Pelodiscus sinensis: one gene and its partners. The main gene of each other region encodes a partner of the protein of the gene in region 3 in a complex. Links are inferred from orthologs where the notes say so. Each region holds a gene or a part of one and is shown on either strand. Other genes may lie near its edges. The genes, in order: CALR, TP53INP2, GABARAP and WDFY3.

What was found.
Region 1: the proteins of GABARAP (region 3) and CALR are in contact, whole or in part, in a crystal structure (PDB 3DOW), measured with the Homo sapiens proteins. The link is inferred for Pelodiscus sinensis from reciprocal best matches to the Homo sapiens genes GABARAP and CALR. Residues at the interface, in NP_009209.1 of Homo sapiens: Glu17, Ile21, Tyr25, Arg28, Pro30, Val31, Ile32, Lys48, Tyr49, Leu50, Val51, Pro52, Leu55, Phe60, Leu63, Ile64, Arg67, Phe104; in NP_004334.1 of Homo sapiens: Asp199, Trp200, Asp201, Phe202, Leu203, Pro204, Pro205.
Region 2: the proteins of GABARAP (region 3) and TP53INP2 are in contact, whole or in part, in a crystal structure (PDB 8T31), measured with the Homo sapiens proteins. The link is inferred for Pelodiscus sinensis from reciprocal best matches to the Homo sapiens genes GABARAP and TP53INP2. Residues at the interface, in NP_009209.1 of Homo sapiens: Tyr5, Glu17, Ile21, Tyr25, Arg28, Pro30, Val31, Ile32, Lys46, Lys48, Tyr49, Leu50, Val51, Pro52, Asp54, Leu55, Gln59, Leu63, Arg67, Phe104; in NP_001316358.1 of Homo sapiens: Glu31, Val32, Asp33, Gly34, Trp35, Leu36, Ile37, Ile38, Asp39, Leu40, Pro41.
Region 4: the proteins of GABARAP (region 3) and WDFY3 are in contact, whole or in part, in a crystal structure (PDB 3WIM), measured with the Homo sapiens proteins. The link is inferred for Pelodiscus sinensis from reciprocal best matches to the Homo sapiens genes GABARAP and WDFY3. Residues at the interface, in NP_009209.1 of Homo sapiens: Glu17, Ile21, Lys24, Tyr25, Arg28, Pro30, Lys46, Lys48, Tyr49, Leu50, Val51, Pro52, Asp54, Leu55, Leu63, Lys66, Arg67, Phe104; in NP_055806.2 of Homo sapiens: Glu3342, Lys3343, Asp3344, Gly3345, Phe3346, Ile3347, Phe3348, Val3349, Asn3350, Tyr3351, Ser3352.

Annotation. Positions count from the first base shown.
Region 1 is NC_134729.1:13,045,269-13,052,174, reverse strand, and holds the start of CALR (calreticulin), read left to right. Parts: upstream 1-3,899; 5' UTR 3,900-3,989; coding exon 3,990-4,077; intron 4,078-5,101; coding exon 5,102-5,203; intron 5,204-5,753; coding exon 5,754-5,957; intron 5,958-6,638; coding exon 6,639-6,733; intron 6,734-6,856; coding exon 6,857-6,906. UniProt on the Homo sapiens protein: Calcium-binding chaperone that promotes folding, oligomeric assembly and quality control in the endoplasmic reticulum (ER) via the calreticulin/calnexin cycle.
Region 2 is NC_134728.1:30,990,661-30,997,937, reverse strand, and holds the start of TP53INP2 (tumor protein p53-inducible nuclear protein 2), read left to right. Parts: upstream 1-4,275; 5' UTR 4,276-4,562; intron 4,563-7,277. UniProt on the Homo sapiens protein: Dual regulator of transcription and autophagy. Positively regulates autophagy and is required for autophagosome formation and processing.
Region 3 is NC_134734.1:9,615,068-9,621,674, forward strand, and holds GABARAP (gamma-aminobutyric acid receptor-associated protein), read right to left. Parts: upstream 2,429-6,607; 5' UTR 2,235-2,428; coding exon 2,145-2,234; intron 1,747-2,144; coding exon 1,668-1,746; intron 1,265-1,667; coding exon 1,146-1,264; intron 930-1,145; coding exon 864-929; 3' UTR 511-863; downstream 1-510. UniProt on the Homo sapiens protein: Ubiquitin-like modifier that plays a role in intracellular transport of GABA(A) receptors and its interaction with the cytoskeleton.
Region 4 is NC_134715.1:13,065,571-13,073,321, forward strand, and holds the start of WDFY3 (WD repeat and FYVE domain-containing protein 3), read right to left. Parts: upstream 3,011-7,751; 5' UTR 2,888-3,010; intron 2,513-2,887; exon of another isoform or gene 2,326-2,512; intron 2,105-2,325; exon of another isoform or gene 1,718-2,104; intron 1-1,717. UniProt on the Homo sapiens protein: Required for selective macroautophagy (aggrephagy). Acts as an adapter protein by linking specific proteins destined for degradation to the core autophagic machinery members, such as the ATG5-ATG12-ATG16L E3-like ligase, SQSTM1 and LC3.

The DNA of each region.
Region 1 (6,906 bases), on a different chromosome or scaffold from region 3:
GGCCGCTGTGCTGCTTTGCCGTTCCTCAGCACTGAGAGCTCATAGATCTACAAGGGAATCCCAAGAAGCGCGGGAATCAGCTTTGCTTTCCCACAACTCCGCCTGGTGGGATGCTCCCCCACAATGCTTTGCTCTGTCTGTTAGCAAGGTGCTAGCCAAGTGGCCATGAAATGGTGACAATGGGAGGCAGAAAAACTGGTTTTATCGGTTTTCACTTTCGTTGACTTTTCCACGTCGGCAGCACTTTTGTCGCCAAAATTTCCCAGTGTAGACAGAGCCTAACGTAGCACGATGTGAGTATGGAGAAAACATGGTTCCGTTTATCGAATGGAGGAACAAGTGAAAACAAATGGTGATCTCTAAAATCCAATCGCAGCATGCATCCTAGAGCCTGCACTTAACTAATGAGGTATTTTCCAGTCTCCTAGCACTGAGCTCACCCCAGAGCCTTTCTTCCAGTGCTTTACAGGCCCTCCAGTGCCTATGACCCTCCATTGAGAAGACACGCTGCCAGCAGCCTAGCTCCTCGGTGAAGGATAAGATCTTGTCCCCTCTTCTCTTCTGTTATGTAGCTACAGAATCAAGTTCCTTTCCCCAAAAGACCCTCCCTTTCATCTTTTCTCTTTGCAAGCCCTCACGCTTGACGCTGGCCAAGACAGCAAAGGTCTCTGGGAGCATCTACTGGTTTGTATGCTGATTGAATTGGCCCTGGGCCATGCAATATACACACTCCGGCTACGTCTAGACTGGTATGATTTTCCGCAAATGCTTTTAACGGAAAAGTTTTTTGTTAAAAGCATTTGCGGAAAAGAGTGTCTAGATTGGCACAGACGCTTTTCCACAAGCACTTTTTGCGGAAAAGCGTCCGTGCCAATCTAGACGCGCTTTTGCGCAAAAAAGCCCCGATCACCATTTTCGCCATCGGGGCTTTTTTGCTCAAAACAAATCTGAGCTGTCTACACTGGCCCTTTTGCGCAAAAGCTTTGCGCAAAAGGACTTTTGCCCGAACAGGAGCAGCATAGTATTTCCGCAAGAAGCACTGATTTCAGACAGTAGGAAGTCAGTGTTCTTACGGAAATTCAAGTGGTCAGTGTAGACAGCTGGTCAGTGTAGACAGCTGGCAGCTAGACACAGCCACCCTGACAGAAAGGGAAACATGGTTGTTCCTTCCTGCCTGGGGACTGCTTTATCTCACAGACCTTGAGACATGATTCCTTACATATCCACACATCCGCTTTGCAATCATCACAATGTCCAGTGTCTTGCTGGCTTTGGGTAGAGACTTCACAGGCCACCGTTTGGCATGCTATAATATAGATATTAGCCCCACAAGATCCCTCTAACTCTACACACGCCTCTGTCCTCTGCCAGCTGGTATCAAGGGGTCGCAAACCCCCTCTGCTACTGGAGGCCCTTTTGGTGTATGTGTGGTATATTATGCAATTGACAAAAGGAAGAACCCAGTGCGCAGAGCCAACAGCCAAAAACCTGGTGCATGGAGTGGCAGCAGGAACCCCAGGTACTAGGCCAGGAGCCTGGGGTGCTGTAGCACTCCTTATCCCCCTAGTTCCCATGCCTATGGCCAAAAGCCCCTTAGGGAAGCACCCTGGGATTTGGCCCAGTGATCACCCATCCAGCCTAGCTTCCAGGATCTGAACTGGACTCAACGGCTCTGTTCTGCACAGGCGGTCCTTTGGGGAAGTCGCACTCCCTTGGGAAAGTCACGGTCCTACCAGCTCAGAACACGATAGCTGCTGCTTATCTGGGATCTTCTTCTTCATGATGCTGTGGTTAAGGGAGAGATGAGGCACCGAGATTTGTAATAACGAGAAACCCAACAAGTCCGACCTCTTGGGCAGCCTATCCTTACAGACACTCAAACTAGTTCCCTCTTTCTTTTCCTCTGTAACTTATCTCTCTGGCACACCCTGCCCTGCCATCTCTCTTGGGCCTTGCTGCCAGCTAAACCGTTGGGGTTGCAAAAGAAAATCCGTTTGTGTGGCAGCCCCATGGGGCTGGGGAGCTCGTGTAATAGAAATCTTAGAGTTCAGTGGCACAACAGACCCCAAGAATGGGGTGAGATTGGACAGCCTGTCTGTTATGTAAATGATGCTAGGCAGACAATGATAAGAGGACAAGGACATCTGTGTTCAGGGAGGCCAAAGGTGATGGGCACTATAGAAAATCCACAGATAGTGTGGATGGGGTAAAGAGGGCTGCATGGTGGGGTGCATATGGGGATGGAGAGAGGGATGTGTGTGGATGGAGGGGTGAGTGCATGTGGGGACAGAGGAATTACCAGTGGGGTGTGTATGTTTTGGGATAGAGAGGGGGCATGTATGGAATGCGTGCATAGTGGGGTGTGTGAGGGATGGGTGAATGGGAGTTTGAGTATGGGGCTAGAAGATGTATGTGGGGATGGGTGGAGGGAGGGATGCGTATGGAGATTGAAGGAATTGGTGGTTGAATAGCGAGGTGCATATGGATTTGAGTGGAGAGATGCTATGTATGGGATGGATGGATAGTGGAGAGTGTAGCGGGGTAAGGGTATGGATGAGAATGGAAGGGTGTTTATGGGGATGGGTGGTTAGTGGGGTGCATGAAGGGATAGGTGGTTAGAACATGTAGGTGTGGATAGACAGATACTCTATTAAAACCGTATCTCAGAATCCTCTGATTGAGGGTCCTGAATTGGCCTGGGGCAGACCCCTGCTTACTGGCAGTCTGGGCACAGGTTAGCCAGGCACCTGGCTGGCCATCTGCTGGGTATGTGTAACGTCCCAGAGCTGTTTCCTGTTAGCTGGGGGTTTTGCCCCTGTTTTGAACAGTGTTGTTCTGAGCTCTTAAACAGACAGCTAGTTCCATCTGTGAGATGGCTGCTTTTTTGTGCCAGGCAAGGAATCCCTATACAAACAGCCCCCACAACCCACCTCAGAAACAGCTGCATCTCAGCATTGGGTGAGGGATCCCTGAATGAACAGCTGCTGTGCCCCACCCCAGAAGATGCTGCATGTTAGTAGTAGGGAGGATAGTAAATAAATAAGCCAGGGAAGCTGCACTTCAGAGATCTTTGTTCACACAGCTTGCAAATCGTGTGCACTGCTGCAGGAGGGGCTGTAGAAATGGGGAGGCTTTGGTATTAGAACTTCCTCCACAGTAGAACCTTTAGCTCTTTACCATGCACAGAGCCCTGGCACTGGCTATTTCTCTTCTTTAGGTTTCCTGGACAGACTTTACGAAGGCAAAGATGAAACATTTTGGGGCCTCTGCGAGAAGCCGTGCCTTTAGCTGGGGACTCACAAGCCTTCAGTGAAGGTAGGTTGGTCTCTTCACAGAGGGGAAAGTGGGGCCTAAGTGAGTTGACCGAAACCTCAGGAAAAGTCAGTGGCAGAGCAAAGACGTCCTGGCTCCCAGCTGCTGTCTCCTGGACCCCTCCCAAAGAGAGGCTCGCAGCCATGGACCCCCAGGTTAGCATGCATCACCGCCCTGTACCCAGGTCTCCTTCCTCCACTGGGGTTCTTTTATCACCTGCCCCGCTCGTGGTTATTATGGGCTGGGCTGGGCTAGGGTGACCCCCATTGACCAGGGGTGAGAACGAGCCTGATCAGCTGTGAGCTGGCCCTTTAAGAGCGCCCGAGAGATCACGTGACCTGACAGGCGGCGGCGACGCAGCCAGCGAGAGGAGGAGGCGTCTCCCCCCGAACGCGTGGTCGCTCTTCATTGGCCGAGCCCGACAACCAATTGCAAGCGGCCATCTGGGACGCCAACGTTCGGGGGCGCAGCCTCACTCGTCGCGCGGGGTGCCCGCCAATGGGAGCGCGCGCCGCGAGGGCACGGGCCAATGGGGAGCTGGCGGGGGCGGGGGCCGGGCCGGGCCGCCTATAAGAGCCGTCGCCGGCGGCGGCGCGCCCGCAGTGTCCGGTGCGCCGCTAGGTGGGGGCGTCTCGAGCTGTGCAGCTTCCCGGGTCGCGAGCGTGGGACCCAGCGCGATGAGCCCGCTGCTGGCGCTGTGCGGCCTGCTGGGCCTGGCGGCGGCGGGGCCCGCCCAGCTCTTCAGGGAGGAGTTCGGGGACGGAGGTGAGGGGGGGGGGTCACGGCCGGGGGGGGGCCCGGGGACACCGCCCCCCCCTTTGACTCCTGCACCCGAGACCCGGGCCTGGGCCTGCCCCCACCCGGCCTGTTGGCCTCCTCCGGGGGGTGCGGAGAGTCCTAGAGACACCCCCCCGCTGGGAGGGGCCCCCCCCACCCCTGCTCGAGCATCGCCCGCCTGCTCTGCACGGACCGGTCCGTGCTCGGGGGCACGTGGGGGGGGGGCAGAGCGGGGCCCGGGGGGGGCCCGGGCTCAGCCCCTCTGTGCCTGGAGGGGTGGCTGGAAGGAATCTGGCGGCGGTGCAAGCCTGCAGTTGTAGGTGAAGCCCCCCCCCCCCGCATTTCTCATGCCCAGCTGGAGCCGGTGTCATAATCTGTTTGGGAGGCCAAGAAGCCCCGAGGTGAGCCTGGCTTGCTCCTTTGCTTCTTGTCCCTACGGGAGCTTTGAGAGACTGGCCCAGCCACTGCAGAGGGATGTACCGGCACCCTCAGGGCGCGCTGATCCGAGGCACTAATCAGCAATATAAGCTGTTATACAGATGCTATGTTCCATGTTGGAGGAGGCTGCATTTCAGCAGCAGGTGACTCAGTTCCTGGGTATTGTCTTCTAGTCGGGAACAGCTAGTGCTCATGTGAGGAGGAATGCAAGATTCTGCTCTGCACTTGACCATGCCTGAGGCAGAAAACTTCCACTCGGCCTGCTGAATGAAGTAGGCATATTATTGCGAGGGGGTGTGTGGGCTAGTGGCTGGAGCCCTGGGAGTCAGAACTTTGCAGGGGTAGTGACTTCCTTTCTCCCTTGGTTCCCTGCCTGGTGAAAGAGACTTACTCCAGGCTGACTGGCTTACCCAACCAGTTTGAGAGCTCTTCTCTGGCCTGTGATGATGGAGCAAGGTAAGGTACAGGGCCTTCCTCAGTCAATGGCCAAGTGTGGGCTGGGTCTGTAGGTCACATTCCCACCTTCTGAGAGCTAGGGCCTGTTCAAACTGATGCCTGGGTCTCTTCCCCACAGATGCCTGGACAAGTCGCTGGGTGGAGTCAAAGCACAAGTCAGACTATGGGAAGTTCAAACTGACGGCAGGGAAGTTCTATGGGGATGCTGAGAAGGATAAAGGTGAGAAGTTGTGTGTGCGCGTGCGCGTGCTGCATTCTGCTATCCCTCCGGGGATGTACTGAGGAGATCGGGGCATCTTTTCTTAACTATCTTGCCCATTGGCTCCTCTGGCTGGTTCCTACTTGCCTCCAAGTCACCCAGCACTTCTATAAATACCTTAGCATCAAATCAGCCCAGTACATCCTTCTCATCCTACTCTGGCTGTAATGGGTTAGCTTTCTGGGTGCTGCTTGGATCGGGTGCTCTCTGGGACAGGACTGGCTTTCTGCACAGTGGAGCATGGGTCCATGACTGACAGAACCCCATAATGCACCTATGTATGTGGCTGGAGGAGGGATATCTCTTTGCTGCCTTGTGCCCTGTTAGCTTTATGTTAGTGGCATGGGGCTCTGTATGCAGGCACCATGCTGCAGAGTGCTGAGCATGAGCAAAGAGGCCTGTTGCCCAGATGTGCTGAGCTCTGAGGCCAGCTGAGCTGTGAGGCCAGCTATGTGAGGAATCCTGCTCCCCTTAGCTGGCAGCTCATGACTCTCTCCCCTCCCCTTGCCAGGCCTCCAGACAAGCCAGGATGCCCGTTTCTACGCCCTGTCCGCTCGCTTTGACCCCTTCAGCAACAAGGACAAGACCCTGGTGGTGCAGTTCACTGTGAAACATGAGCAGAACATTGACTGTGGTGGTGGCTATGTCAAGCTCTTTCCCTCAAGCCTGAGCCAGGAGGACATGCATGGGGACTCGGAGTACAACATCATGTTTGGTGAGTGGCTCTGCGTGGGACAGCTCCATAGCCTTTGCTGGCTGTGGATTACCCACATGGGCCTGGACTGAGGTTAGGGTCTCATGCAAAGCAGGGTGGGGCTTGCAGTGTGTGGATGGGAGCTCTCCCAAACCTTGGGAGTGGCTGGGGGTGCTTAGTGGCCCAGCATTGTGCTAGGAAGCTGCTGGATAACCCATGTCATATGGGGCCAGTGGTGTGGCTGGATGGCTTCAGCTGCCAAGGGGGTTCTTTGCTTCATGCCCTAAGAGGTCATGCATTGTTGCTCTGCTCCACCCCAGTGGTAGATGAAGGAACTTGAGACTTGCACCTGAAATACAAACTCTGTCCCGTAACTCCCTGGGATGGTTTCTCCTGAGAATCCTAGAGACCAGCCTGTCCTAGATGGCTCTGTTCCCCCAAACATTGCCCCTGTCTTTTCTGCTGAGTGGCCTGCCAGGTTGGGGGGAGGGGAGAGTCTAGTCTGAGCCCCATTCAACACCTACTCTCCCTGCTGAACCTGTCACTAGCTCCACACTGGGCCCTCTATTTGTGAGCTAGCACCTGGTCCTGCTGGGGCTGCATTTGCCAGCTCTCTGCACTGGAACAAAGTGACTTGTCATTTCAGGCCCTCCTGAGCCAGGCTGGTTTGCTCTGCTAAACTGTGGCTTGTTTCCGATCCAGGCCCTGACATCTGTGGTCCAGGGACCAAAAAAGTGCATGTGATCTTCAACTACAAAGGGAAGAACGTTCTGATCAACAAAGACATCCGCTGCAAAGTGAGTATCCTGGCATAGGGCTCCTGCCCTGCCACGGGGGCCTGGAGTGAGATCTCCTTGGCCTGGAGCGGAGAGCCTTCCTCCAGCCAGGTCCTCTGATCCCCGGCTCCTTCCCTTGCCCAGGACGATGAGTTCTCCCACCTCTACACCCTCATTGTGCGGCCTGACAACAC
Region 2 (7,277 bases), on a different chromosome or scaffold from region 3:
CCATTTCTAGAGCTGCTTCAGTTGGTGGTAAGGAGCAGAGCTCTGGGGTTGATGCGGTCCCGGGCTGAATTTTGCTGCCCATGATTTCGGACATGGTGGCCAAGCTGAACTGTCTGTAGCATCCAGGCATGAATCCAGTTGCCTGGTCAATGGCGTCAAGTACTGCAACACTGATGCCACCCAGCCGAGAGACTGCATGCAGGCTGCATGAATCTGAACTCAGTGCCTCTGCTGAGGCCAGCTTTGGAAGCCACCGTACACTGGGGTTGTGTCTAGACTGGCAAGTTTTTCCACAAAAGCATCTACTTTTGCGAAAAAAACTTGCGAGCTGTCTACACTGGCCGCTTGAATTTCCGCAAGAACACTGATGATCTCATGTAAGAAATCAGTACTTCTTGCGGAAATACTATGCTGCTCCCAGTCGGGTAAAAGTCCTTTTGTGCAAAAGGGCCAGTGTAGACAGCTCAGATTTGTTTTGCGCAAAAAAAGCCCCGATCGCGAAAATGGTGATCGGGGCTTTTTTGTACAAAAGCGCATCTAGTTTGGCCCGGACGCTTTTCCGCAAAAAGTGCTTTTGCGGAAAAGCGTCCGTGCCAATCTAGACGCTCTTTTCCGCAAATGCTTTTAACAGAAAACTTTTCCGTTAAAAGCATTTGCGGAAAATCATGCCAGTCTAGACGTAGCCAGAGTGTGCAGTGCTGATGTTCTTCTACAGCAGCATGAGCTATTATGCTCTGCTCTCTCTTGTGTTAGGGGCTCTGTCCTCACTAAAGATGTGAGGCTCTGTTGAAGGTAATGATGCAAGAGTAAGACAAACATCAGTGTCATCCGATGATACCTATAGTCCTACCTGTTTCTTTTTTGCAGCCATCATTGTTTGTTGTACCAGGGTGTTATCAGCTTCCTCATGCCAGATGAGCACATCTCCTCTGTTGATCACACCTCCCTGGCTTATTTCAGCTAGGGGTGTTGTCTCTGCCTGTGATGAGTAGCTTGTGGTTTAGTGTGTCATTGCTGCAACTTCTTGTCTTGAACATGATGTACCAATTATGTGTCAACAGGTTCTTATTTTCAAGACAAGACAGGGGGAATTGTATTGTGCTCTGCTTGCTTCTTTAGTTCTGCTAGATCTTTGACGCTCTTTGCTGTGAAGTCTTTGGACCTGTCAAAGACAAGATCTCCATCACTTGCTACTAACTCATGTATGTCAACTCAGAAATTGGTCACAAAGTCCTTGAAACCATTTATTGGCCAGAGTACTATCCCAAGAACTGCAGAACTGACAGATGTGCAAGTGAATCCTTGTCAGTTGCAGCTGCTTCTTTAGGCCAGGCCTAGCTTTGGCAGTTCTCATGTCACCAAAGTCACTGCACACAGAGGAGCCAACTCACACTGATGAAATATTCTTGATATCAACCTGTCATGAACTTGCTTGTAGGCTTCCGAGGGAGGATCCTTGCTTAAATAAAGTTAGTGTCCAATACCTGAGGTGGGCTAACCTATGCATGGTTTTTTTTGTCAACACCAGCATCTCGCGTAGCCTTAGCATTGTGTCATAGAACCCTGTAGGGAAGCTAAGTTCAAAATCTTGCATTTAGCAAATTCAAACTGCAAGAACATCTACAGACAGTGATATCACCAACCACTACCAATGTTAACTATTGTGTCTGGGTGCTTAGTGGTGTTTCAGGGATCAATGCACAGCTCTAGCTTGTTAATAATGGTCTCTATTCTATCAGCAGTAATCCTTGACTTCATTTCCTCTTTTGAGGATCGCTTGTATTTATTCCCCACTGGTGTCATTTATGTTTTCAGTGTCTTCCACCTGACAGCTACCAGGGCTCTTGATAGTTCTTGATAGTTTCTGGTTTCACAAAAGTGGTTTCAACATACATGTCACTCGACTTGCCATCTTATATTTCTCAGCATGGTGCAAGATATGCTGCAAGCTCTTCCTGCATAGAACCATGAAAGTGTAGAGCTGGAGGAAACCTCAAAAAGTCATCAAATCCAGCTCCCCTGTGCTGAGACTGTCCAGGTTTACCTGGCCCTACCTCTGTCAGGTGTTTGCTAACCTTTTTCTTGAGAATCTCCTCTTCTGGGGATTCCATAACCGGCCTTGGAAGCCTATTCCAGAGTTTAGTTGGAAAGCTTTCCCTAATATCTAACAAATCTCCTTTGCTGCAGATCAAGCTCATTAGTTTGTTCACCGAACATAGGACATGGAGAACCATTGACTCCTGTCCTCTTTATAACAGCCCTTAATGTCTTCGTTTCTCAACACTGAACATGCCTCCTTTTTTAAACCTTTCTTCAGATATCAGGTTTGTTAATCTGTCTGTTATTTTTGTTGCTTTTCTCTGGTCTCTCTCCAGACTGTCCACATCTTTCTCAAAGTGTGGTGCCCAGAAGTGGGCACAGTACTCCAGCTGAGGTCTCACCCGTGCAGAACAGAGCAGGACAGTTATCTCTACAGTCTTGCATACAACACTCCTCTGACTACACCCCAGAATGATATTAGCCTTTTTTGCAGTTTCATCACATCATTGACTCGCGGTCAGTTTGGGATCATGAAACATTTTAAGACAAACACAGGATTTGGAAAGACAAAAAATGTGCTTCACTATACACATGCACACACTTATAATACAGTGTAAACAGCCTTTCTAATCAAATTATTTTAGCAGATAAAACACATATCAAATGAAAAGTAAACAGTGCTTTTGCGGAAATTCAAGTGGCCAGTGTAGACAGCTGGCAAGTTTTTCCGGAAAAGCGGCTGATTTTCTGGAAAAACTGGCCAGTCTAGACACAGCCTTAAAGTCTCTAATTTACTATATATTTGAGAGAGTTTCTCTGTGGGCAAGCCTGTCTGTCAGTTTGTTCAAGAACTCCTCCTAAGCGGTATGAGCTAAAACCACCAAATTCGATATACAGAACTTACTGCAAGGTACGAGTTTAGGTGTAGGGGGGGGGAGGGAGCTGACACCTCTCTCCCAGGCATACAAGGATGCATAAAATCATACAGAAGAGACAATCACCGGGCAGTTGAAAGGGGATGACTGCCCCAGACACCACTTAGGAACAGTACTGGCTGTTCCCCTTTGTTAGGGAGTGAGGGTGCACAATTTGCTTCATTCCTCAATCTTGCTGGAGAACGCAGGAGACAGACAAACCTGGACTTGGCCCTCCCCTGCCTCTACCTGCTGAAGCTGCAGTGGCCATGGAAAGGCACTTCTCACCTAGCCCCAAGCTGCTGCAGTGAGAGAGGGCAGCACACCACTGCAATGATTTCAATGAAGAAAAACAAAAATTAATTGAGTTAAGGACCCCTGGTAAAAATCTTCTAGTTGTCCAATACTTGCATTAATGTGACAGTGCTAAAGAACCATATTCTGAGAGTACAAGACAAGTATGTCTTGCTTCTCAGTTGAGGGGAGCCAGGGAGAAAGGGCTAGTGCGCTAGCAAGAGATAAGATTAGAACAGGTGCTAAGAAAGACAGAAGTACCCTTCCCCCCAGTTGTGTCCTGTATCAAAATACTAGTGTGACATTTCCATTAAAAAGCAACTGAAATTCAATTAAAGTGGTTTCAGTGTCACCAATCTTGTAAGGAAAGAAGGGGAGGTGGGAAAGGTAGTGCTCATATTTCAAACGGCTGGACAGTCCCAAGATGGTATGAGGCAGTTGCTTCAAAATTCAACTATAACTAACTCTCCCTCCCTCTTCTCTCAAAGGTAGAGCCCAAACCGACTACAGTGTACAGTATTGGGATTACCGGGCTGAAAGGGGAAAGAAAGCAAAGGCCACCCAGCGAGCCCAAGGGCGGGTGCTGGTGAGATGGGCAGAAGGCGGGGGCTGAGCTGCCCTCTAGCCTGCTCGCAAGGGGGGCGAAGGAGCAGATTCCTGGGAAGCCTCCTGCCCACTGAAGATTTGGGGTGGGCGGGTGGATGCTGCTCCGCCCTAGACAGAGCAGGCGGCGGTGGCCCAGGCTCAGGTCCGCACCCAGCCCGAGCCGTACCTAGTGCCCGATTGCTGTCTGCAGCCCCCCACGGCCGCACCCTGGACTTCACACGGGTCCCGGAGCTCACATGGAGCAGCTCCGGCTCCTCCCCCATCCCTTCGCAGGCTGCATCCTTGAAGCCCAGCCCTCAACCTAGCCCTGCCTCCTATTGGCTCCTGGTCCGCCGGGTTACGCCCTCGGCGGGCGGCCCCCTTTGTGACGCCACAATCAGCTGTTTGGACGTTCTAATTTCTGATCTGGTCTGAGATCAGCAGCAATAACAGAAAATAAGAAGAACCCTGAAGCCCGTGGAGGGAGGGTCCGGCCGCAACAGCAGCCGCCTACAGCTTGCAATGGTGCATATCTTCTGAGAAGAACAGACACCACCACCACCACCACCTCCTGCATCTTTTTTTTAAATTTCCATTTATACTAGTGTTGTTGATTTCAATTAAAACTACCTCACAGACTGCCTAAAGCTGGTGCTTTACGATATTTAACACAATTTGTGGGTTTCTTGCGGTGTTGTTTACAAAATATTTGCTGACATTAAAGGCAAGGTAAGTGCCATGCTCTGTTCTGAAATGTGGCTGGCTAAATTCAAACTTGAGAACCATCTCTTTGTACTGCCGCCGGCAGTATGGTTGTTTTAATGGAGTATGTTGTTGATGTTTTCAGACTTCTCTCTCTGCACGGAGTGGTTTGGGTGCGTGTTACACCCTCACCCAGGGATTTTATTAAGATTTAAGGGTCATCTGTTTTCTGGTTAGTGGGCGATTGAAGGTCCCTTTGTATTTAGCTGAGTGCAGGCAGGGACATCTCTTTGTGTTTTAGTACGTTGTGTGCATTGTGCTTTGGTGTGGTGTTGGAAGGGAGAACACAGCTCATTAGCTTCTTGGGGAGACTATTAGCTATGAAGCTAGGTTGGTCTTTTGTTGTTTTTATATTATATATCAGCGACCAGGGTGAAAGAACAGGGTCGTTTTGGATCTGGAGAGAGGCTCTTACTTCAACCACACAAGTCTGCCTCTCTCGGCTTGCCAGATGGGGGCTGGCGGGAGGGGGGGGGCGGCAAAGAAGCATAATGTCGAGGTAGGTTTGGGAGAGCAAATGGCCCCGTTAATCCCACATCCTCCTAACTACCCAAGATGGTGATTTTGCTTGGGTTTGGTATTCAACCACAGACCTATGAGGTCACCAGAAATAATGCACTGGGACCGGGGATCCGGCTGGTATGCAGGAGAGGAGCCATTTGTCTCGACTCCCCTTTGCCAGAAGAAGTGGGGTGAGCATCCATACTGCACACGAAGGTGTGTGTGTGGCGGGGGGTGAGCAGAGAGCCCAGCTGGGTCAGAACAAGCGAATGGAAAGGGCCCATCCTCATTAACTGCAACTCGGGGGGCGATGCTGTGCTGCGGCGGCTGCTTTGGCTCGGGCCGTGTCCCCTGCTCAGACGATGCAAAGCGGCCTCGGTTCGGCTCGCAGCCCTTCCCGACAGGCCGTCCCGGTCACTGGGAAAAGCCAAGTTGGTGCCTGGTTTGTCTCCCGATGGATTTCCCATCCCCCCTTCTTTGCAGGGGGGGCGTTTCTCGCTGGCACGGACAAGAGCTGGATTGCCCCAGATCCGCGCAGGGTTTAGCGACTAAGCCGGCCTAGGGCCGGAGAGAGGCTGGCCCAGCCGGTGTTATCCGCGCAGCAGGACGGGGGGTTGCCCCGCACCGTCTCCCTGTCTATGGAGCGGGCCTGGGTGCCAAGCAAGCCGGTTCTCCCCCCCTCCCCCGCAGCAAAGCCCGGCTCCTGCCAGGGGGCGATTTCTCTCGTCCGCGCCGCCCAACCGGCTGGGGCCCCGCGGCTCAGCTGCAGCCCCCGCTCCCCGCGCGCTACTTGTTGTTCGCTTCTCCACCGACGGATTCCGATTCACGGCCGAGCTCTCGTCCCATTGGCTCCTCGGGATTGGGAGCCTATGGTGACGCGCTCGTGATTTGCATATGACATTGAAACGTCACCCAGGCACGCCAGCCCGCCTCCGGCCCGCGGAGCGGAGTTGTCCTCTGCTGACCCGCGCCGAGGGCTGCAGCGGGCGTGGGGGGCTGGGCGGCCGCGCATGCCCGGGCGGCTTTGAAGGCGAAACGCCCGTCTGGTGTTTGTCTTTGCCTTACCGGGCAAGGCCAGGGCAGGCTGCTGCACCGAGTGAGGCCGATAAATGGGGGAGGGGTCCTAATGCCTTTGCTTAGTGGTAGCCTCTCTGCTGGGCAGAACTTGGAGGCTGCTTCCCTGAGCTAGCTGATTATGTAGCTCATCGGAAGCGTATTTAATGGAGTACAGACGCATGCAGATTTGCAAGCCTAGCCTGTTCTCCCCCCCCCCCCCCACACACACAGTTAAGATGACGATGTTCAGTTATGCCGTAAGTACTTGAGAGATTTAGGGCTGGATAAGACTATTCTGCACTAAAATATCCTTTAATAATCTTAACACTATTGCAGAACCTGGATTTTCCTATTTACTTTTTCTAGTGAATGGAGCAAAGTTATGTCCCTGACCTTCTACAGTCTTCTACAGTCTGGATGATGCTCCATAAATATATCTAGTTAGGGAGGGGAAAATACTTTAAAAAAAACATTTACAGCTGCTCAGTTAAATCTGAAACTATTCAACTGTCTGATACAAAGCTGGTGTAATACATTATAAAGGTGTTTGCGATGGAAATACTAGCATCATGAAGTGCAAGGTACAGATGTATTTAAGCTGAATTCTCTATATCCCGTATTACTGAAGATTGACCAGATAGATTTTTAGCCGCCATTCAGCAAAGCACTGAAGTGTGTGCATAAAGTTCCATTAACTTCAGTGAGATTTCAGAATAGGCTTAAAAGCTCTGCTCTCCCTGGCCTCTGTTTCTCTGGAGGTGGGTGACAGGGGAAGGATCACATGAGAATTACCTGTTGTGATCCCTCCCTCTGAGGCATCTGGTATTGGCCACTGTCTGCAGACAGGATATTGGTCTGGATGGACTGTTGGTCTGACCCAATATGGCCGTTCTTATGACCCTAGGTGTCCTTCGTTTGAGGCCTTACTAGCACTGGCGTGTTGAAGTATATGCTACAACCCCCTACACAATGGAAGTTTACAGAAATGCAACAAAGCTCACTTCCCATCTGAAGAAGGGTTAGATATGCATTAGCCCTACTGCAGGCAAATTCCAGCAGCTGAACCTGTTTTTACCATGTGTTTTTCAGGTGGAGAGACATGTCAGAAGTCATTAGATCACTGTC
Region 3 (6,607 bases):
CTCGACAAATTAGGCAATCTACTCACCTGTGGTGAGTAGATTTTAGTCCGGTGGAGCCACAAAGCACGTTCAGCACAGGAGCAGCACGGTCTGTGTAGGCGTAGTGTGTGCTTCTGGGGGGCTGGTGAGCAGGGGCTCGCCAAGCAGCGGCAAGCCCTGGTAATATATTTATGTACACCAAGAGGTAAAAATACAAAACCTAGCTTAGCTAGGTCTGCTAACCACTTCGGTGGCATTTGAATCTCTCCTGCATGGCACCAGTGCAGAGTTTATAGAAAACACTACTCTGATCCTTCCCAGAGGGATCTATTCCTGCCCCCTTAGCTGTCCTTAGGAAGGGGTCCTGAACCCCCATGTGCTTTATCTGTACTTCCTCCCCATCCATCTTACAAGCACCCTGTGGTCAGCCATCATACAGCAAACACCCTTGATCCACCACAAAGGGATTGCCCTGGCCAACCCCTCCACTCGCCTCACACCCCACTACAGAAATAAAAATCCATACCACAATCAGGGTTTCCCTTCTCATTTTATTATGCCCCAGACCTCTCTACACACCATGTTAAGAGACTTGCCAGACAGAACCCCCTGGTGACAGGTCAGGCCCTGCTGGGGATGAGAGGTCAGCAATTTGAAGAATGCAGGGGGGATGTTAGAAAAACCCTTCATGGCCACAAATCAGAGCAGGAGATTAACCACGGAAACCCAGACAGAGTGGGGAGGGGCAGTTACATGGAGGGCTGTAATTAGGCAGTTGGGGGTGTCAGAAAAAAAAAAAAGGTTCTTATAGAGATCAACCAATAAGAGAAAGTGCAGGTCCAATTGGGGAGGAGGGCACCCCGGTAGCCAGGGAGGATGGCGCCTCACATGCCATAGACGCTCTCGTCACTGTAAGCGATGTACAGGAAGAAATCTTCCTCATGGTGTTCCTGGGAAAGGAAAGAAAGGAAGATGTCAGTACCAGGGAGAGCCAACAGGGGGTAACAGGATAGCACCAAATACTACCAGGGAAAACACCCTTTGCTGCACCCCTACCCCACACTAGCCTCTAGCGCCACCCTGAGGCCAACCCTGCCTGTCAAAGGAAAGCACCCCCTGCTGAGTCCCCACACTGCTCTGTCCCACAGCGCCCCCTCACGCCCCACCTGGTACAGCTGGCCCATGGTGGCACTGGTGGGTGGGATGACGTTGTTGACAAAGAAGAACAAGGCGTCCTCAGCCCGTAAGTGGATTCGCTTCCGGATGAGGAAGTAGAACTGTCCGACTGAGGGAGAAGAAAGAGGGGGGTCAGGATGGGAGAGGGAAATTCCTCCTTTATGCAAATCCACAGTTCATTTGCTCCACTCCCCCCCTTTCCCCATCCAAGACCCTGCAGTTGTCAGATGCTGCCTCCCCATATTATGTGGGGGGACTACAGAGAGCGGGGCATTCCCTGTATGGGGCACCCCCCAGTTTATCTAGCCCTACTTCTAGGCTTGAGGGGGCCTTCCAGAATCCCCTCCCCCCACACTCCAGAAATCCCCACCTGTCCCCTTTAAGGGTATATTGCCTCCCCCCAACAGCTCCCACAGATAACTCCTCCAACACCTCCCCCTGCACTGCCCATGCAGCCCACGGCGGCTGCTGCCCCCATCCTCAGCATGGCACACCCTGGGGACAGCACTCACCAGTGAGGTCTGACGGCACCAGGTATTTCTTCTTATCCAGGTCTCCTATTCGGGCTTTGGGGGCTTTCTCCACAATCACCTGGGGAAAGAGGGGGGAGGAAATGCCATGGGTCAGCCGGCCCCCCCAGCATTTGGGGGGCTCGGAGCACACCTCAGGGGGCGTATAGCTCCCCAAAGGAGAACTGGGATGGAGCCTGGTCAGCCACCCATTGGGGTCCAGCGAGGAACCAGCTCAAGAGCCATGTCAAGGCTGGGCTGTGGGAAGAGGCGGGGGGCTAAAGGGCCCCCCAGTGTCTGTGGATGGTAGCAGCTGGGGTACCCCTCACCCAGTAAGAGGGGAGCGAAGTACCCCCCCCGCGCACGGTGGGTCCGGCCGGACCAAGCTTCACACGCCAGGGAGGGGCAGAGCTTGGCCGGGCGCGGCCGGTGGGGGCCAGGGTCTTCCCGGCGGCGTTGGGGAGGCCTCAGCTGTCTCACCGGGACGCGGTCCGGGTATTTCTTGCGGATTTTCTCGCCCTCGCAGCGGCGGCGCTCGAAGGGCTGCTCCTCCTTGTACAGGAACTTCATGGCGGGCCGGCTGCGTCACCAGCGTAACCCCCGCCCGCCCTGCGCGGGCTGCGTAACCAGCGACCGTCCTACGTCCTCTTACTACGCCACCCGCATAACCTCTGCGCACTGAGCAGGCGCCAGTAGCGTAAACAGCGACGAGCTAGGTTAACTCCCTGCGACACCAGCGAATCCTCCGTCCGCCCTGCTCTGGCTGCGTAACCATTTCCCATGCTACATTGGCTCCGAACGCAAGCAGCGTAACTCCCTGTGCCAACAGGGCAGTCCTACTTATCAAAAGTGTATCATCACCCTCCGTACGCCGCCTGCGTAAGTGCCCCTGCCTTGTGTACCCAACCCTGTGCCATTTGCTCGCGCAACTAGCGTAACCACCGCCCGCCCTACGTCAGCTCCCTGCGCCTCTGAGGTAACCGACCCGTGCTCTATTGGCTAATGGCCTTCGCTCTGCGCCCCGCTGATTAGTTGCTCCGCTGGAGCACGTAACTCGTGTGGCCCCTCCAGCGCCACGAAACAAGCGTCTATTATGCTTCGCCACTAACGCAGCCGACTCCAGCTACACCCGCCAAGAAACACTAAGCAAATAGCGTAACGGTGGAATCACCTCGCTGCTTCCCGCGGCAGCTGCGTACGTTAACTGCTGAAGCTACGGCTTCCCGCTTTATACTGTTTGCGTATCATGAACTCCACTTGCGTACTCCCACGCTCGTGGCGTATCACTTCCTCGGCAGGGAGCGACGCTGCGAGGTTTACGTAACTCCCCCATGCCAATAAGAGGCCTTCTCAGTCGACCCATTTCGGAAACGCACTCCTCCCCGGGCAGCTACGCAAACCCAGGATTCACAGAGCTACGCCACCTGCGTGGCAGTGCGACACCAAAACAAAATAGTGCGGGGAGGCAGCGCCCCGAGGAGGGTGTGGCCACGGGGGGGGGAGGAGAGAGTCAGGCCTCGCGTAGGGGGCCCCGCAGGGAAGGATGGCAGAAGGATCGGGGGGGGGCGGGGGCAGTTTCACGTGACGTACAACGCAGAGGGCATTGCCACGTGATCACGGGAAACCCCTGGTTTGCAGGGGTTGATAGGCGACACTGCCACGTGACAAAGGCGTGGCCCAGAGAGACCAAGACCAATAGCGGACAAACGCGACGCAGAGTGGCCGTGACCAATCAGGAGGGAGCATAGCAATAAAGGGGGAGGTGCCAGAGATTGTGGACCATACCACAGGGTTAGCGCTCGGGGAAGCGGGTAAAACCATTGGGGGAAGGGCTGGGAGCCAGGATGCCCTGGCAGGGGGAAGGGTGCAGTGGCCAGAGCGGAGTATCCTGCTCCCCTTAAGTCTGGCACCTGGGGATGGGCCCCTGCAGCCAATGGGGGCAGCTTCGTAGGGATCTAAAATTTTGTTTAATCCGTGAACTTCTTAAATGGAGGCGTCGCAGCTGCTGCCCCCCTCCAGTTAACCATTCAGAGCCCTGCTGCTCATGGCCAATGCATGGAGTTGGCAGGGAGGAAAGGAAAATGCTGCCAACTTGAGAGGAGAGGCTCTCCCGGGAGCCCCTCCTTCCCCAGGGCTTACTACAGTGACCAAGGGGCCAAAGCACCAGCCCCTCCCCCACAGGCCAGATTCCCTTTATTGGTGTCCCACAGCCCCAGGACAAACCCAGCTACCTTCAGACTGCACTGAGGTAAGTCACCAGCAGGATGCCCCTGCAGCAGGGCTGGCTTGGCTTGAAACTGACACAGATGCAGCCACTTCTGCAGTAGGGTGGCCAGTCACACAAGGGCCTCTCACCCAGCACTACATGACCACCTCTGGGGTGTGGCTGCAGTTATATAGGGACCCCTCACATGGCACAGAGAGATGGGCAGTTCCAGGGTGGGGTGGCTGGTTATACAGGGACCCCTCACCCAGCAGGGCAACTGGTTACACAGGGACACCTTTCTCCACACCAAGCTGTAGTTACACAGCTCACTATAGTTAACATCAACAAATAGTACACAGCTGCCCACACAGCAAAGAAGAGACAGTCCCATAATGCAGCCTGCTGTGGCAGGGGACTGCAGGAAATACCTGAAAGCAAAACAGGTTCCCCCTTTGCTGGCAGATATGAGTGTTACATGGCCTTTTTACTCTTGCCATTTTATACTTCAACTAAAAAAGGGGATATGCCCTGCCCCACAGCATCCCTCCATGCCACCCCCTACTAGGCATGTAAAAGAATAGTCAACTCTCTCATAAGCCAAGGCCAGTGTTCTCTAAGCCAGTGGTCCCCAACCTTTTCAGGTTGTTGGGTGCCAGGGGGTGTGGCCGTTCACCCGCTGGGCGCCAGGGGGCGGGGACACTTGCCCGCCTGGGGGCAGCCCCCCCAGCCGCATGCCCGGGGGCGGGGCCTCCCCCATAGCCACGTGATCGGGGCCGGCACACCCCGGCAAGCCCCGCGCGCCCGGGGCTGGCGCCCCCCCCCCCCCCGTAAGCGCCATGCGCCCGGGGCCGGCGCTCCCCCCGTAAGCACCATGGGGCTAAGGCCGGGGCTGGCGCCAGCGCCGGGGCCAGGGCACGCGTGGTGCCCCCGGGGGCGGGGCCAAGGCCAGGGCTAGGGCATGCGCGGTGCACCCGGGGCCGGGACCAGCCATGCGCCTGGGGCTGGCACCTGCCAGCCCAGATTGCTCCGCGGGTGCATGTAAAGAGCCCGGCGGGCGCCATGGCGCCCGCAGGCACCAGGTTGGGGACCACGGCTCTAAGCTGTGCAGCTGTACACGTGATTCGTTAGGTCCATGCAGGGAGCACCTGTGTGTGTGTGTGGGGGGGGGGGGGAAGAGATCATCTGTGATGCTGGGCTGCAGCACACTTTAAAATCAACACTGGCCTAGGTTTATTGGATAGTCAGAATTCACTACTCACATTCCTCCCCCTTGCTACCTCCATATCAGAGGCAGCAAAGCAATGGGTGTAGGGGGGGAGGAGCCAGCTTAAAAACCCATTCCCGGCAGATCCAGGGCTTGGGGGGCAGGGGGGAAGAAGAGAGGGAATGGGGGAGGCAGAGGCACCAGCACTGCAGCTCTGCCTTTTAAATGTAGGAAGAGCCACCTGGCTCTTCCAACATTTAAAAGGCAGAGGCACAGCACAGGTCCCAGACCCGCTCCCACTGTATCTCTGCAGTTTAAATGTAGTAGGAGCCAAGCTGCCTGCATACCTGGCTCCTACTACATTTAAACTGCAGAGCCACAGCAACCCCCTATCAACTAATCAAGTAGTTGATACAAATTATAGTCATTTACTCGATACTTAACATCCTTACCCCCCCTACTACGCTCTGGGGTCAGTCCTACCTGCCAAGGAAAAGCATCATCTGCTAAGTCCCCACCCTGCAGCACAGGGTCAGCCTCTTCTGCTTGCTGACTACAGGAGGCATCTATGCCCACCTCTGGATGAGAAGGGGCATTTCTTCAGACCCACAACATAGGGAGAGGAGTACAGAGGTCCCATCCCATGTAGAATTGGGACCTGTAAAGGTTCTATCCTGCCACAGGTGGGGCTTACAGTGATCTCAGCTGCTCCTCAAACACTTCACCCATCTCCACACACCCCATCCAGCACCCAGATGGCCCTCTCACAGGGCTCTCCTGCTTCCTATCGTCACCAAACTGTAGCAGGCCCAGAGGCCCTGCAAGCCCTGACAGATCAGTGAGGGAAACTGAGGTACAGATCCAAGCCCTGCCACTTGTGAGCAAAAATGGGCACTGAATCTAGCCATCCTCACCCCTTTGGCTGCAGCTTCCTCTCACCCCAAATTCTTCCACCACAGTCCGCTAGAAACGGGAAGAGAACTCCTGGATCCCAGCCTCGTTTCCCCTTGCTCTAACTGCTATTTCCCACTCCCTTCAAAGAGCCAGGAAGACAAAAGGAGTCCTGGCCCCCAGACCTCCTGCTCTAACTCACCAGCCCCCATTCTCCTCCAAGAGCTGGGGAAGGAAGTCAGAATGCATGGGTTCTAACACCCCACCCCCAAACACTGGATCCCACTCCCCACCCAAAGCTGGGGCAGGACCCAGGACTTCCATCACTAAAGTCCAACTGTTGAACAAGTGTAACTGGTTTGGGGGGGGGGGGGCGATGAACCCTCCCCCCTGTAAGAACTCTCTGAACACGGCTCCATTTCTGGCCTTGCTTAGCGGCTATAATTTGTCTCCTGGGTTTTCATTTCCCCCAGAGTCTGAGAAAAACAGAGAAGGTCACCCCTGGGGAACAGATCCCAGAGCAAAGACCCACCCCTAGGGAGTGGACCAAAACAATCAGATGGCTTCAGGTTGCTAAACTCAAAAGGGAGCCAGTGAAAGGCAGGCTCCTGTTCAGCCCAGGACACAGAGAGGGAAGAACAG
Region 4 (7,751 bases), on a different chromosome or scaffold from region 3:
ATCAAGTATATCTTTTTTGATAATAAAATCACCTTTTTAAAGCAATAATTTGATTCTTGTGTGCTAGAAGGAAATGGAAGGCCAGTGTTTGTGTATGCAAGTCTAAGACTGAGAAGTCAGCTACCAGAGACTGCAGTTTTGTTTTCTCTTTTTCCCCAAGCTTTCTTGTGGTAAAAGAGCTTGGGGATACCCCTCGGGAAGAAGTCCAAGTGCTTCCTTCTTGGTTTCAAGAAGAAAGGGATCTCTTGTTTCATTTGGTGGTGGGCAGCTACCTCCCAAGGCCAGGGAATTGGTGGCCTTGGGGAGCTTTCAAGCAGAAGCCTAGAGAGGCAAGGTATTTTTAAGGTCTTTTGTGGGCCCCTACTTTCTGCTCTTGGAGTGCCAGAGTGAGGAACAGCCCTGACATGGTGGCAGAGTGGTGTGATCATTCTGAACCAGGAACACAGACCTCGGGATCTTTTTTTTCTGTTTTGCTGTTTGGAATTTTTGGGACTTTTTTCCTCTCTCTTTTGCTGCCTAAGGGAAGCAAGGCACACAGAAGGTTAAATCTGCACAGCCAGAGAGTCCAACGCCAAACCAAACAGTTGTTTTGTGTTTTTCTTAGCTTTCAGGGCAACTGGATAGCTAGGCTAGAGTAGGACAGTCAGGCGGAGTAGCCCTGAAGCAACAAACCCTCCGTAAGTGACACACTGTGGTGAAAAGAGCTGATGAAAAGCAAGTACGTTAACATCCCCATCCTTACTCCAGAAGGTGCATGCAATGCCACAGTAACACCAAAAGAAACAGGGAGAAGGTGTGAGGGGAACAGACACTGTTACAGAAACACTTCCTTGCACATACCCAGGCTCTGAGCCACCACAGTGTCTGCTCTGTGTCTGCACAGTGCACTGGGTTATGTTTTCAAAGCACAAAGACGAGAGAGAGAGTTTGCCAGAATGATCCGTTTTAGTTTAAGGAAGCCAACAAAGAACAAAGGTAAAGAATGCCAGAGGTTTCGCAGCACATGATTCACTAATCACAGTTACTTCAAACTGTGGCTCAGGGAGGGCAACAGCACTAGGTCAGAGCCTGTAACATGGGGCTAGAATCAAAAAACCACAACATGAGTCAGGCCCTGCTACAAAGCAGATGCCTGCTTACAACTTCACTGCTCCGTGTGCAAACTTGGCAAGAATATGGCTGGTTTTACGAAAACACAGGCTTTCTCAAGTAGAACTAGGCTCTAGCTAGTCACTATACACATCCCAGGAGGGTACCACAAGAATATGCTGATACAAAGCTATGATATAAACATACACGCCCTGAAAAGGGGAAAGGGACACACGGACTCCTCCTAGAGAGAAGTTCAAGACAGCAGGGTAAAAGTTGGAGATGTTTTGTTTGAACCAACAGGTACAAAGCATGGGGTAATATGTAACTTGTTTGTCTCAGTGTATGAAGGAGGGGTCTCAGAAGGTACGTCTTTGTCTGGGGGGGCAGTGGAGAGTCCTGCTGCTGACTGAGCAGGTCCATTGGCATAGGTATACAAGTATTCATGTCCCTACAGGGCCTGGAGGGTACTAGTACTATGCTTTGTCAGCAATAAACCTGGCCAGGGCACTTTTGCCCATCTAAAGAAGCCTTTTAGGCAGTTTGATCTGCTGAGCTGGCTCCCTGCCCAGAGCTGCACCAATACAACTCCCACATGCATCCAACAGCACGTGTCATTTAATCAAACTCCCAGCAACCAGGGAAGGGTAGTGTCATGGTTCTGGTATCCACCCATCTACAGCAAACCCTGAAACCCCTGGCTGGTGGCACATTCTGCAGTGATCAGCCTATCTCGTAAGAGGGAGGGTTCCACATAGCGCTGACGGGCACAAAGCCGTGAGATCCAGCCGACGCGGTTAGTGCTGAGAGGGGCTGGGCATTCTCAGCTCCCACTGGTTTCTGAGCAAGATGCTGGAACTCAGCCCTGCTCAGAATAGGCCAATTGTGAGGGAAGTGGAACATTCCGCCGTAAGGGCAGCACCCTAGACAAACAGAGACCGAGACAAGCGGTGGAGGGATTCCTGATGTCAGCGTTCACAGGTGAGGGCTGCCTCTCACCCCATCCAAATCACAGGTAAGAAACCAGACAAGACCCTGGAACAAACAGCCCAACTGCTGACTGAAGCGTGGTGACTCATTCAATGGTTTGCAGAGCCAGACAGAGCCCTTTTCCCCACTAGCTCCCTTGGCGGGGACTTGGCGCTGGTCATTTTGCTCACACTGCCCAAATGAGGAGGGGGTGACAATGACCACAGCTCAGCTGTGATGCAGTGATTATTGGGTCAGTCACCAAGGGCTGCAGCATTTCACACTAGGACATCATCCAGAGCACATGGCTAATGTCTAGGTCTCAGGACAGGGACCAGGGCAAAGAAATAGCATCTTCTGGGACCCACCGACTTCCTACAAAATGGAAGGCGAGACACAGAAGGACAAAGGACAGAGTTCTGGTGAGGAGGAAGGAAAGGCAGGGACAAGGCTGGTAGGTAGAGTGAGGTATCTATAAGGGTGGAGAGGGGAAATTGAAGTTAAGCAGATAGAAACATCAGGGAACTGTGGAAGGGAGAGAGAGGAGAAAGGAGGAGAGACAAGAGGGAGATATAAGAATGGGGGAAGAGGATACAGTAGAAGAGAAAGGAGGAGACACACCGAAGAAGTAGATAGGAGTGAGATCCTTGGCTGATGTCTTTAGCATTAGGTAGAATCTAATTGCCTTTGCCAAAATATAAGCAACACAGCCAGCTGTAACGACTAGGGCTTAATAACACAGGCAATTTGTACTATCCAAAGAGGAAAGGGTGCAAGTGGCCATAGCTGAGAGGTGGCATCGGATTTCAAAAGATGACATTGCAGTTACCTGTTTCTGCTGATTTGATCCTTGCAGCTCCACCGTCAGAAGCTCAGATAGTACCAATTAAGAAGTAAGATGAGAAGCTGACTGTTCCTTTCAAGAGGTAAGTGATTCACGTCCTCATTGCAATGGAGTGGAAATGAACTAAACTGACTGTACTTTCAGGTGAAGGAAGTGAATCTATCCTCTGCTGTTAAAGGTTGCTAGCAACTTTTGTAAAACTAAAGCAAAGGAAAGCTGCTGAAAGGTTAGAGAATTCTCTACTTGTTCTAGTCAACGATAAGGAAAGTGTTATTTATAACTACTTGATTTTTAAACAATAAATTGGTTGTATGGAGAGAAAAAATAAACCAATACAGCAGCTCTTCACCCAGAAGGTATGCATTTTACTCAATGTAACAACATTAATCTAATGACACATAATTTACATTTGTTGCCTGACAAATAGGTCTTTTCAGCGGGTCATGGATGACAGGTGACTGCAGTTTACAAGAAGTTTACCTGATCTAGCTAATCCATTATTTTCAGGAGGTAAGAAATACAACACACCTTCCCATAACAGTTAATGGCGCTGGTCATATTTTGAGGAAGAAAAAAAAACCCAGTAACTGATGAAATCTACATCTCTCTAAAGAGCACAAAAAGTGGCTGTACTGAATAAAACAAAAATACCTGGGGGCTACCTATCCAGCTGTAAGGACAGCAGATGTTAATTATAACTAGAGATCATATTGCCTCATTTTTCCTTCCGATAATGCTGTTGGTTGTTCTTGCAAGGTGGTAACAGTGATGTTATTTCAAAGAAAAAGTGAAATCACAGCATGAAAATCAATGTTAACTTTCTCTTACATTTTCAGAGATAAGTTGGTCCACTCCAATTCTGCAGGATTGATCATTGTTGCTTACTTATGAAAGGTCAAGTAAAGAGAAGTGGAACTGATCATTACTATCAAGAGGTAAGGAATGCACCGCCTCATGGCCCAGGGCCAGAAATAAAAGGCTCCATTTCTATTTTCAGGTGAAATGAAGGTCTTGCTGTTCCAGGCAGGAAGGTTAGAGGCTGCTGAATTTAAGGATAAAGTCAGACAAGTTACTATGCCTGCCCAGAGGGTAGAAAAGCAACTTTTCCTTCTAGATCAGAAAAAGAAAAGCAGACAATTTTGTTCTTCAAGTTTTAACCCATGTAGCTGGCTATACTTGTAAGAATCAAAGCCATGCGGCAAAACACCATGACAAGTGGGTGAGCATTGAAAAGTCACTAGAATCCTAATGATCTGGTTGCTAAGGAACCATCTCCATCAAAGACTCTACATAGGAGGTACTGAGTAATAATAATAAAATTCTCTCAAATGTTGATGATTGCAGGCTTTCCTAAATCGAGATATGAACAGACTAGGTGGCCATTCCTACCAGGAAGAAGTGCGGGAAAGTGGCTGTCTTTGGCAAGAGGTAAGGAAGGTCTGACTCCAGATAGCCATGTGCACATCAAACAGTGTTGATTTTACTTTTAGGCAGAAAAATTGATTTTGACCTTACTTGTCAAGGGGAGAGTGTATAAAGCAGACTCAGACTTAAAGCAGTATGGATAGACTTGCCAGCTGCCAATCACTTGACGAAATAACAGCACCTTGGAATTGGAATCTAGGAACAGAGGGTCAGTCACTTTGAATGGTTTGGCTAGTTGCAAATTTGAATGTGAAGCAAGTCAGCAGCACATCACAGACAGAGGTGAGCATTTGGGTTTCCTTGATTCTCAGGTGAATCTGGTGCTAAAGGAACATTTGCAGAGTGAATAAATTGATCAATCTGGCACACATTGATTGTTACCGCAGATCGCATATGTCTGGATGGAAGGAGATGAGAGGACCATTGTGTTCTAGAAGGGACTGATGCAATAGGAATGAGCTGGACCAGGCCTATCAATTGGTAAGAAAAACAAAATAAAACAAAAACGACCCGTTTTTAACATTGAAATGGAAATGGATGGCTCCTCTCATACTTTCAGGTGGGGAAAATGTAGCTACTGTGAAATCTGAGGGTGGCAAAAATGCCAGTTGTCATGACTGGGCTTAATAACACAGGCATTTGTACTATCCAAAGAGGAAAGGGTGCAAGTGGCCATAGCTGAGAGGTGGCATCGGATTTCAAAAGATGACATTGCAGTTACCTATTCTGCTGATTTGATCCTTGCAGCTCCTCTGTCAGAAGCTCACATTGTTCCAATTAAGAAGTAAGACGAGAAGCTGACTGTTCCTTTCAAGAGGTAAGTGATTCACATCCTGGTAGCAATGGAGTGGAAACTAACTAAACTGACTGTACTTTCAGGTGAAGGAAGTGAATCTATCCTCTGCTGTCAAAGGCTGCTAGCAAGTTTTGTAAAACTAAAGCAATGTACAGAACCAAAGCTGTTGAAAGGTTAGAGAATTCTCTACTTGTTCTAGTCAACTATAAGGAAAGTGTTATTTATAACTACTTGATTTTAAACAATAAACTGGTTGTATGGAGAGAAAAAATAAACCAATACAGCAGCTCTTCACCCAGAAGGTATGCATTTTTCTCACTGTTTCAGAATGCAGTTGGAATGAACTGAACCAGGCATATCAATTGGTAAGAAAATCTCCCCAAATGTATTTTTTTTTAACAGTCAAGTGGAAATGATCCTCTCATACTTTCTGATTAGGGCAGTGCAGTTCCTACTAACAATAAAGGTGAGAAAACTTCAGGAAGTTCCTAAAAGATCTTTCACTGAAGCCCAGAGGTAAGCAACTCATCTCATAACAATGGTAAAGGAGTTTATGGATTTGGGTTTCCTTTTCAGGTAACAGAAATGCAGCTGATCTGATCTCACAGTGATTGAAAGGTATATGCAGTTACATTATTAGGCATAAAGGAAGACATGGCCAAACCTGCAGAGAACAAAGAAAAGTTGGCTTTCATGACTAAAATGGGCAGACAATGAAGGCAGTCACCATCATTTTTCAATCCAAACAATTCAGCAGATGGTCATTGACAAGAAAGTGAGCATTTGTGGTTCTGTTGTACAAGATACTTTATGATCCATTCCCTTTGGGAACATTTATGGGCATGTAAAACTGATGAGCAACCAAATTACCTGTCAAACTTTGATCCCTTTTAAGGAACTAATTTGTGAAGCTGGTTTGCCATTTCAGGAGATACGCTTTATAAATGCTCAGGATTTTCGAGTATAAATGTATGGATCTGTTCAAGGCCATTCCTATCACCTGGCAGGATAATTGGCTCTCTTAAGATATCAAATCACAGCTACTTCATTCAATAGAGCAACAAAATTGGCTCTGATGAGATGTAAGAGAAGAATTTGGTAAATGCAACATAGTCAGCTCCACAAAATTGCTAACTTACATTGAGTCAGAGGATTTGTTACATCTCAGGGTGCATTAACACTGCACTATAACTTGAAATAATATATGCAATTTGAGCTGCGCAAATTGCATATCTTATTTCAATACCATTTCAACATAGCTTATTTTGTCATTTGGCACTGTCTACACAGTACCAAATTTCAAAATAAAGTGCTGTTCCAAAACATCCCTTACTCCTCATAGAATGAGGTTTACAGGGATGTCGGAACAGTGAGCCCAAAATAATGGGCTTGCTGTGAAGACATGAGATAGATATTTTGGGATACTTTGGTATCCTGAAATAGTGTTGCAGTGTAGTCCACATAGTCTCAGGGTCCAAGAGGAGCCAAGAATGATAGCTGACACAAGGGGATTCATCTTTATTAGAAGGTGAAGAACCTGCTTATCATTTCTGAGTGCAATTCAGGGGCTTTGGTTGTACTTTCAGATGAAGGAAACATAGCCAGTGTGGACATTGTTCAAGAAGCCATGCTCAAAAGTTGCATGGGGTACCTATTGGGCCAAGAGGAACAGCTGTTTCCATCTGCTAGGATGCATGCAGAATTGAGCTTCATCAGACAAGAGGAAAGCACTGGAGACTGGCTAATACTTGGACACAGAGTGGAGTAGGACAAGGTTTGTAACCATAGTGACTAGTAGGTCCTTGCTCGTATGCACAGGGTGAAACTGATCGCCATATTTGGGGTCGGGAAGGAATTTTCCTCCAGGGCAAATTGGCCAATGACTCTGGAGGTTTTTTGCCTTCCTCTGGGGCATTGAGCAAGGGCCAGCCCTTTGGGCCATTTAGAAACACACAATAAAATCCATCAAAAAGAACTTGTCTCCTTTTGTCATTTGCATTTTCTGTAGACCCATCCTGTGCCCCTCTGCTACGCCCACACTCCCCACAGCAGGGAGCCAGTGCAAGAGAAAATATCCTGCCATCCCCAGAAAGGGAAGTGTGTGTAGAATCTCCATCCCTAGAGGTTTTTACGTCCTGGCTTGAAAAAGCCCTGGCTGGCACGATTGAGTTGGGGTTGGTCCTGCTTTGGGCAGGGGGCTGGACTCGATGACCTCCCGAGGTCTCTTCCAGCCCTAGGATTCTATGGAAGGGAAATGGCCAGGTGCCGCAGTCCAGAGATAAGCAGGAAGCACAGAGGCACTGTTAACATGGTCTTCTCCTAGCATGCCCTTACAGACCAGGACAGGGCCTTTGGTCTGACACATCCAAGCATTCTGCCATGCTGCTGTGGTCGTAAGAGCCCTCTGGGCATGCTACAGATCAGCGGCTCTGGGAGAGGTGATCAGTGTTCCCTTGCCATGGTGGGGTTGCTGCTTCCTGAGGGCCCTTACTGGTCTCAGAAGCTGACATTGACTTCAGCATAAGCTACTCTTTTCTCCAGAGGGAGCCCTTGGGCAGTGGGCATCCAAGAAGCTCTTGCCTTCAACCAACCCTTTTCCAGGAGCTGGGGTCAGAAGCCCCAGTCTGC